2 linked regions of the Notamacropus eugenii genome follow. The protein of the gene in region 1 purifies or fractionates together with the protein of each later gene. This does not show direct contact. Links are inferred from orthologs where the notes say so. Each region holds a gene or a part of one and is shown on either strand. Other genes may lie near its edges.

The links.
Region 2: the proteins of PGM1 (region 1) and GRHPR fractionate together in Homo sapiens (co-fractionation; 3 studies listed by BioGRID). This does not show direct contact. The link is inferred for Notamacropus eugenii from reciprocal best matches to the Homo sapiens genes PGM1 and GRHPR.

Annotation. Positions count from the first base shown.
Region 1 is NC_092873.1:524,162,058-524,165,965, forward strand, and holds the start of PGM1 (phosphoglucomutase-1), read left to right. Parts: upstream 1-922; 5' UTR 923-1,121; coding exon 1,122-1,367; intron 1,368-3,908. UniProt on the Homo sapiens protein: Catalyzes the reversible isomerization of alpha-D-glucose 1-phosphate to alpha-D-glucose 6-phosphate. The mechanism proceeds via the intermediate compound alpha-D-glucose 1,6-bisphosphate.
Region 2 is NC_092874.1:317,103,120-317,107,027, reverse strand, and holds the start of GRHPR (glyoxylate reductase/hydroxypyruvate reductase), read left to right. Parts: upstream 1-1,003; 5' UTR 1,004-1,070; coding exon 1,071-1,156; exon of another isoform or gene 1,157-1,285; intron 1,286-3,908. UniProt on the Homo sapiens protein: Enzyme with hydroxy-pyruvate reductase, glyoxylate reductase and D-glycerate dehydrogenase enzymatic activities. Reduces hydroxypyruvate to D-glycerate, glyoxylate to glycolate, oxidizes D-glycerate to hydroxypyruvate.

The sequences.
Region 1 (3,908 bases):
CCTAGACTGTGATGAGATCTTGAGGGTAGAGACTGTCTTTTGCCTTTCTTTGTATTGCTAGTGCTTACCACGATGCCTGGCACCTAGTAGGGGCTTAATAACGAGGCAACTGCGTTACAGTGGATGGAGAGGCTGGACCTGGAGGACCCGAATGCAAATACAGCCTCAGCGGTTAAGAGGTAAGAGCCCAGGCAAATTTCTTCATTTATCAGCCTCAGTTTTCTCATCAGTAAAATGGGGATAAAAGCCCCTACCGGCCAAGATAAAATATGCAAAATGCTTCGCAAACCTTACTAACCTTGTAAATTGTTGACTGATGGACTTGGCAGCTCTAAATATATGATCCGCCAAGGACAGTGGAAAGGGTTCATAGTAGAGGACCTGGTTTCAGATCCTGGCTAGATCACCTGCCTCAAGTCATGGCAGACTGAAAGAGGGACCTTTGCTACTGTCCGGTGGATCACAGATTTAGAACTGGAAGGGTTCTTAGCAACCATTCAGTCCATTTCACAGATGAGAAAAGTGAGGCCCTGAGAGGCTCTTGGCCCCAGGTGGCACAGGGTCTGAAGCCATGGAGATTTCTTCCTAAACTGTGGCATCTTCTCAGCCCAAATTCCGAAGTTCTTTCCTCACTCCCACTGGTTACTAGGAGAGCACCTCACACACCTCGCGTAGGAAAACAGCCAGGGCCCCCAAGAGGAGAACATGCTCTTATGTCCCACCACTGGAGCCCGTGGCCCTTTGGTCTGCAGGGTGTGTACGGGATTGGTTTCTGAAGTGTGAGTTGATGAGAGGAGGGCAGGCCGGGCAGTAAGGCCCCACCCATGAGTGGTGGGGGTGGGGAGCCACCTTTCTATGTCCCTCCTGGCACTAGCTAGTGGGTGGGTGGTTCGAGAGAGGGGGAGGTCCCAGGTCGCTGTCTCTTTAAGGAGGGCCGAGTCTCGGGTGTGTGTGAGTGTGACACAGCCTTCAGTGCTCCAGAACAGCTGGTGAGGCCGGCGGCGGCAGCAGGAAGGCAGCCAGGCCAAGGCAGCAGCGGCAGCAGGAGGGCACTCAGGCTAGGCCAGCGTCGGCGGCAGCAGGAGGGCACCCAGGCCAGGGCAGCGGCGGAACCCCCCACCATGGTGAAGATCGTGAAGGTGAAGACTAAGGCGTACGCGGACCAGAAGCCCGGCACGAGCGGGCTGCGTAAGCGGGTCCGAGTGTTCCAGGAGAGCGCCCACTACGCGGAGAACTTCATCCAGAGCATCCTGAGCACCGTGGAGCCGGCGCAGCGGCCCGAGGCCACGCTGGTGGTGGGGGGCGATGGCCGCTTCTACATGCAGGAGGCCATTCAGCTCATCGTGCGCATCGCCGCTGCCAACGGGGTGAGGAGCCGACGCGCGTGGAGGGAGGGCGCGTGGGTTCGGGGGGCCACGTCGGCCTCGATCGCCCGGGACTTCTGTCTCTCACGCACAGCCCGAGGGTCCTCTCACGCCCCCTAGTCCGGCACGTATCCCACGAGCGGGCCCTCGGGCTGGGGGGGAGGGGACGGCGGAACGGGGAAGGGCGGGGCTTGGGGCGGGCTCCAGTCTTCACCTTGGGCGGCCCCTTCCTCCCTCTTCCCCATCTCCCGCCCCCGGGCTTTTGACATTTAAAGTAACCTTTCCCTGAGATTGTGTTACTGGACTGCGCCTTCCGGCCCGAGCTGGGGTGAGGCCTGGGCCCCCGCCCGGGATCCCGGGAGGGATTGGGGCACCAGCGCGCACCCCGTGTCTTCCTGGGTCTTTCTGTTCCCGGGGTTGCAAGCTCTTCCCTCCACCAACCTCGCTAGCCTGTGTCTGGCACCCGGGGGAGGGAAGCTTTCCCAATCCCACTTCCACTCCCGGTCATATATCTGGATCTCTCCCCACATTTTTATTAGCGCACTCTTAGGCACTCTTATGCAACGGGGCTGGGAGGCGGGTCGGGTCAGGCACCCACTCCTCTCGAACCCCGCCGCTCACACTAAGCCATCCCGGGCCTAACTGGGGAGGCCTTGCTACCTGCTGCCGAGGCCGATAAACCAGCCAGGTTAGGATGTGCTGGGGCCTGGGTGCTCCAAGCTTGGAGCAAGGCCAGGAGCTCAAGAAATGGAGGACCCACCAGATAACACTGTGCCCAGGGATCCCCGCTAGAGAACAGCCTGCTGCCAGGGTTCCTCAAAAAGCAGCTTCACTTGAGCATTTCAGATCTAGAACTCAGGGTACACTTGAATTGAACCAGTGGGCTTTCAGGGTTTGCTTTGGTTTTTTTGGAAACCTCCACAATCTAAATTTGGCCTCACTTTATAAAGACCAACCTTATGGCCACTCCCTAAAGATAACTTACATTGGACAGCACTCTATAACCCCACCCCCCAGACACACACACATACGTGAAGGCACATAGATAATTCTATGGGTTAGAGTGGAACTGGAATGGTTCTTTCTGAGCCGCCTCCCTTTTAAAAATAAAGGTTCCCATTCTCTAATCCTATGACTACCTCTATTTTATGAAGAGGTAAACTGAGTCTCATTGATCAGGTACAGTGTCTTTGAGCTAACTGTTAGGCCCCTGAGAAGCTGCTGCAATACCTCAGATTTCTGCTTAAATCTGGTCAGACTTGGTTTCATTCTCTGGTTGCTAGTGACCACTTGGCACCTGGAACTTCAGTGAACTGTCCACTTGTGTTGTTGTTTTAAAGGACTGGGAGCTTGCTACGTGCAGATCTGTACCAGATATGAAGTGTAGAGTCTTACAGAGCACTGCCCAGGGCAGGGAGAGCAGTGATTACTGTGACTTCAGGTGTCCGAACCAGGTCTTGACTCCAAGATTCCTGATTGGAAAAGTGGCCCTCTGGGGGGGGAGGGGGAGGAGCCGATTAACTTTAAAATAATCTTTGTTGATGAAAGAATTAAAATGATAGACTTAGAAAAATGAAAAAAGACTCTCCACGCTCCACATGGACCAGCTGAATTATAAGAATACCGAATGTGGGTTCGTCCTTCGTTGCCGAAGAACACCGTGCCTTCAGAGAAATGATGACATGATTTGCACTTGGCTTTGTTTTGAGTGAGGTCACCAGCCTCACTTCTCCTCCAGAGCCATCTGAAGCCAGTGAACAGATATTCATCAGGATGACTGGAGATGACCCAGAATGGGGCAACTGGTGTTAAGTAACTTGCCCAAGGTTGCACAGCTAGTGAGTGTCAAGTGTCTGAGGTGAGATTTGAACTCAGGTCCTCCTGACTCCTGCACTGGTGCTCTATCCACTGCATCACCTAGCCACACCTAATGCTTTAGTAAATAAGTCTTAGAGTGTTGCCTCAGGACCAGAAACTTTTTCTGGGGTATTCTGCTAGTATCTGAGGCAGAATTTGGGCTTGAGTTTTCCTGAGAGCCCAGCTCTCCCTCCCCTTAGTCAAGACACCTCGGAGATTATATAACTATTTGTTAACAAGGCTTTTGTTTCCTTTCTTGGAATCCGGAAGAGAATTTTGACTGTGGTTGGCGTGGCCTGCTTATTTATTTGTGTTTTGGTAGATCTGAGATTTCACTAGTGTTAAGTTCTTCTCCCCCACCTTCTCTTTGAGGAATCCAATCTTTCTCTATCTTCTTGTCCAGTGTACTTCATTGGCTTTCCTCCTTCTGTGCCTACCTGACTATCCACTCCTCCACATCCTTTCCCAGAGCTGCCTCTGAGTCTCACCCACTTAACCCTGACTCTGTTTTGACCTCTCTTCTCCCTGATCTCTAACTCAGTGTCTAACATCTATGTGTTCAATCGTCACCTCTGTGCAGATCTTGCATTTCTTCATCCAGTCCTAACCCCTTTCCTACCCTCCAAGTGGGATAGACATTTCACTCATCATCTTTCCCCCCAAACTTTACCACCTTCTGCACTTCAC
Region 2 (3,908 bases), on another chromosome or scaffold:
TGATACCAGATGGTGATTTGCCCGTCCCCCCCTCTTCCCCTGCATCTCTCCCCTCTGTGTAAAGAACCAGTGTCAAATCCAAAGCATGTCCTTCCTTTGAAGTTTCTTTTACATTTCTGTTTAATTAGTACAGGGTGTCAGCTTAAGATAAAATAGGATAGATCCTAGCAATTTATTTGCATGAGTTTCACCCCTGGGAATGGAAAGCCAGAGAGGACAATGACAGACAAGGTCTACAGAGAAAAGAGAGAGAAAACAGACTGTCAGAAGTGTCGGAATTTTGTCCCAGCTGGGGGCTGCAGAGAAAAATCAAAGAGAATCTTATGGATTTTTATTATTCTATAATTCACACACACACAAGCAGAGAGAGAGATCAAGTCCTGCGACCGGATCACTGACCCCAGCTCATAGTAAGCAGTTTTAACTGGAGAAAGGAGGCTTCATGAGGAAGTTAGCCACAGGAACTGCTTCTACCTCAAACCGTTCTGCTGGTTTGGGTTGGGTTTTCCTTTTTACACCGCCTTTCCATGACAGTTCTTCTTTTCCATGGTTCTCTCTGAGGAGTCCCAGGGCCAGATGACCAGCTCTGTCCACCATGTCTGAGAGCCTCCTCTTTCCTATGACATTTATATTCTCATGTTGCAGTGCCAGGTCTTTGCCTCGGGGGTTGTTCCCGCATTCATTTCTACCCTTAATAAACTTAATAAAGAACTGCTCGCTTATTGATGAAGGGCGTTGTGTGGCTGAAGCTCTGAAAGACTGAGAGACTTGTGCGACAGAAACCAAACAAGTGTTCAGCCATCTCAGGAGCGGAGGGAGAGGACGCGGGCACAGCCGCTGTCCCTGCGCACGGGTGCTGGGCCACAGCCCGAGCCCGGAGCCTCGCAGCTGCCGCGGGGAGTGGGCCGGCTCAGGGTCCCGGGAGGGGCGGAGGGAGCGGGGGCGTGGCCGGAGCGTGGCCACGCCTCGGGAGGCTGAGGCCCCGCCCCCACCCAACCCCTGCTGTGGCCCCGCCCCCGCCCACCCCCTGCTGAGGCCGCTTCTTAAGCCCTCCCCTGAGGCGCAGACAGATGAGGCTCCTTGCGCGACTCATGAAGGTGTTCGTCACCCGGAGGATGCCCCCCGAGGGGCAGGCCGTGCTGGCCCAGGCCGGAATGTAAGAGGGGCGCCCCCAACTCCGACCCCCCACCTCGGCCGGGCCTCGACTCCCCGGAGCCCGTGCGCCCGGCCACGTTCTCGGCCGTGGAGCGGCGGAGCCTGGGCCCCGCGCGCGAGGCTGCCCGGGGTGCGTGCGGTCGGCGGCCCCATTGCACCCCACGCCGCGCGCCCCGTCCCCTCCCGAGCCCGCGCCCCCGGCGCTTGTCCTACTTGGGCCCCCAGGTGTCCTCAGCTGGCCCGGGCGATCCCCAGGTCCAGTGTCCGCCTGGGTGCGGGGGGCAGAAGTGGGGAGCCGGCCTGGGGCGCAGGGGGGCGAGCGGGACAAGGGCGACGCGCTCCAGGGACCGGAGCCGGCCTCCGCGGCCCGGCCCCTCCAGCCCGGCCGTCCCAGCCCGCCCTCCCCGGCCCCGCCGCCGGCCCCGCTGCCGACCTCCCCAGCCCGGCCCCCGCAGCGCGGCGTGGTCCGGTCCGGTCCAAAGGTCGCAGGAAGCACCGAGGGCCCCCCCCCGGCGGGCCGGGCCAGCGGTCCTTTTTGCAGAGGAGGTCCGCAGGGGCCTTCGACAAGGCGCAGGCCTTGCCTGTGCCGGTCAGCCTGGCCTGGCCGGGGTAACCATAGCGCCTCAGTCTCCTCACTCGTAAAATGGACCGTGGGGGGGGTGGGGGAGGGGGAGCCCCCCCAGCTCTGGGGCCACGGCCTGAGGTTCTCTCAAAGACTCACAGTCCCAAGGGTCAGGCTGGGGCAGTTCTTCACTGTTCTTAGCGGGGTGAAGCCACGAGGCTGGGGGGTGCTGCCAAGTGCCCTCGTCATTGTTTACCCAATCCGGATAATGATTTACCCAGTCCCGGTATGACTTCTTGTTCTTTGGGCGCATTTTGAACATCTTTTAAAAAAATAAGGTTTCACTTAATTTTGTGGAAGGAGAAGCGTGCCTGCGTGTCTCTTAAGCCAGGGCGGTTGTATGGAGGTTCTTGGCTGGGCTTCCTGCTGGCTTTGGTGCCCGGCTGTGTAATAAGAGCACCTAGTTCCCAGGATTATGATGAGAGCCAAAAATGCTGCAGGAAGAGCCGTGCGAAGAACCTTGAAACTCTGTATCAATGCTACTGTTACTGTTATTATCACTGCCCCTCCCGTGGAGGAGGAAGGTAACCTCTCATAACATCTCCCTCTTCCCCCCCCCATCCTGGATTGGGTGACTAAATGACTGGCACCCCCTTTGCTGGTCGTTCATGTCCTTGTGAATCTGTTCTATGTGGGTTTTCTTGCAGCCAGGATGGCAGATGAATATTGTAAGTCATAGACTGTGTCCTAATGTCACCTTCTTAATGTCGTTTGTTTTTGTTGAGTTGTTTCAGTAGAGCCTGACTCTTTATGACGACACTTGAGGTTTTCTTGGCAAAGATACTGAAGCGGTCTGCCATGTCCTCCAGTTCATTTTACAGATGAGGAAACTGAGGCAAACAGGGTCACACAGCTAGTATAAGTGTCTAAGGCTGAATAGGAGCTCAAGTCCTCCTGACTCCAGGCCTGGCACTCTGTACACCGACCCAGTGTCCCCTTCATGAAAGGGCAAACAGTAAAATTGACTTTATTCTTTTGAGATTACCCTCCCCTCATGTCCTACTCTGCAATCAATGACAAGATAAAATTTGTTAATACTTTACTTTTGAAGGACTTTATACTTCACTACATGTATACTTTACTATTCTTATGAAGCAAGAGAGTAAGTGGTTGGTCAGTCAAGCCAACTTGGTTTTTCATTCTCTTCCTTCTGAAAAGTTAAGGTCTAGTTTACGCAGGTCTGCTCATCATAACTTGTTAAAATGTTGTAATAAGAATTCTTATGTGAAGATAATACCTCACTACTTACTTCATAAGCTTGTAAAGAAACCGCAATTTGTTATTGGCCCCAATGCAGGATGTACCCACCTCCCCTAGTCTGACTAGAACAAAACCTTATCCAAAAAAAAAAGGAAAAGAATGGTACCAGTGGAAGTAATGAAGACAGAGAACAATGATGATAAAAATGAATAAAACATTGAACTAAATAGATTTTAAATATTTATAGTAAATACGTTTTAATATAATTTCCTGTGCATCAAATGATATGATATTTGTAAAGTGCTGGGTACATAATCTGGCATACAGTAGGCCCTTATTTCCTTCCCACTCCCTTACCCCTAGATCCTTGCTCTCAGAAGCAGTGGATAAGTGCTGGACTTGCAGTCATTAAAAATTTGACTTCAAAGATTCAGGCTTTGACACCAAAAAGTGTTTTGTTTTGTTTTTTCACTTATACCCTGAGTTTCAGAAAGCTTTAAACCTAGTCTACTAATTATATAGAAGGGTTAAGCTTTGCTTTGGATGGCTAGGAAATCATAGGTCCTTTGACATAATTTTGTGTAATTATTTTTCAAGGAATATCTTTTTTTATTTTTAATGAGATCTCAGTTTAATGGCATGATATATTCAGACCAATAATGAGCAATAACCAGTAAAAAAAATTTGTACCTAAGAGGTGTGTTAGAGGTACAAGATAATAACAACAAAAAATTTTTTTATTTAAAGGACAAAATAAAAGATATTTGGGTTTGGGGATTTAATACCATGAAAATCCACATTAATAAAGGTGAATTTTGGTCATTCCAAAGCACCAAATGCTGGCCAATTGCATTTGCCACAACTGACATTATCGAAAGAGTCTTACTGCATGAGATTCAAGAATGATGTCAAAGGATCAGATTTACAATTT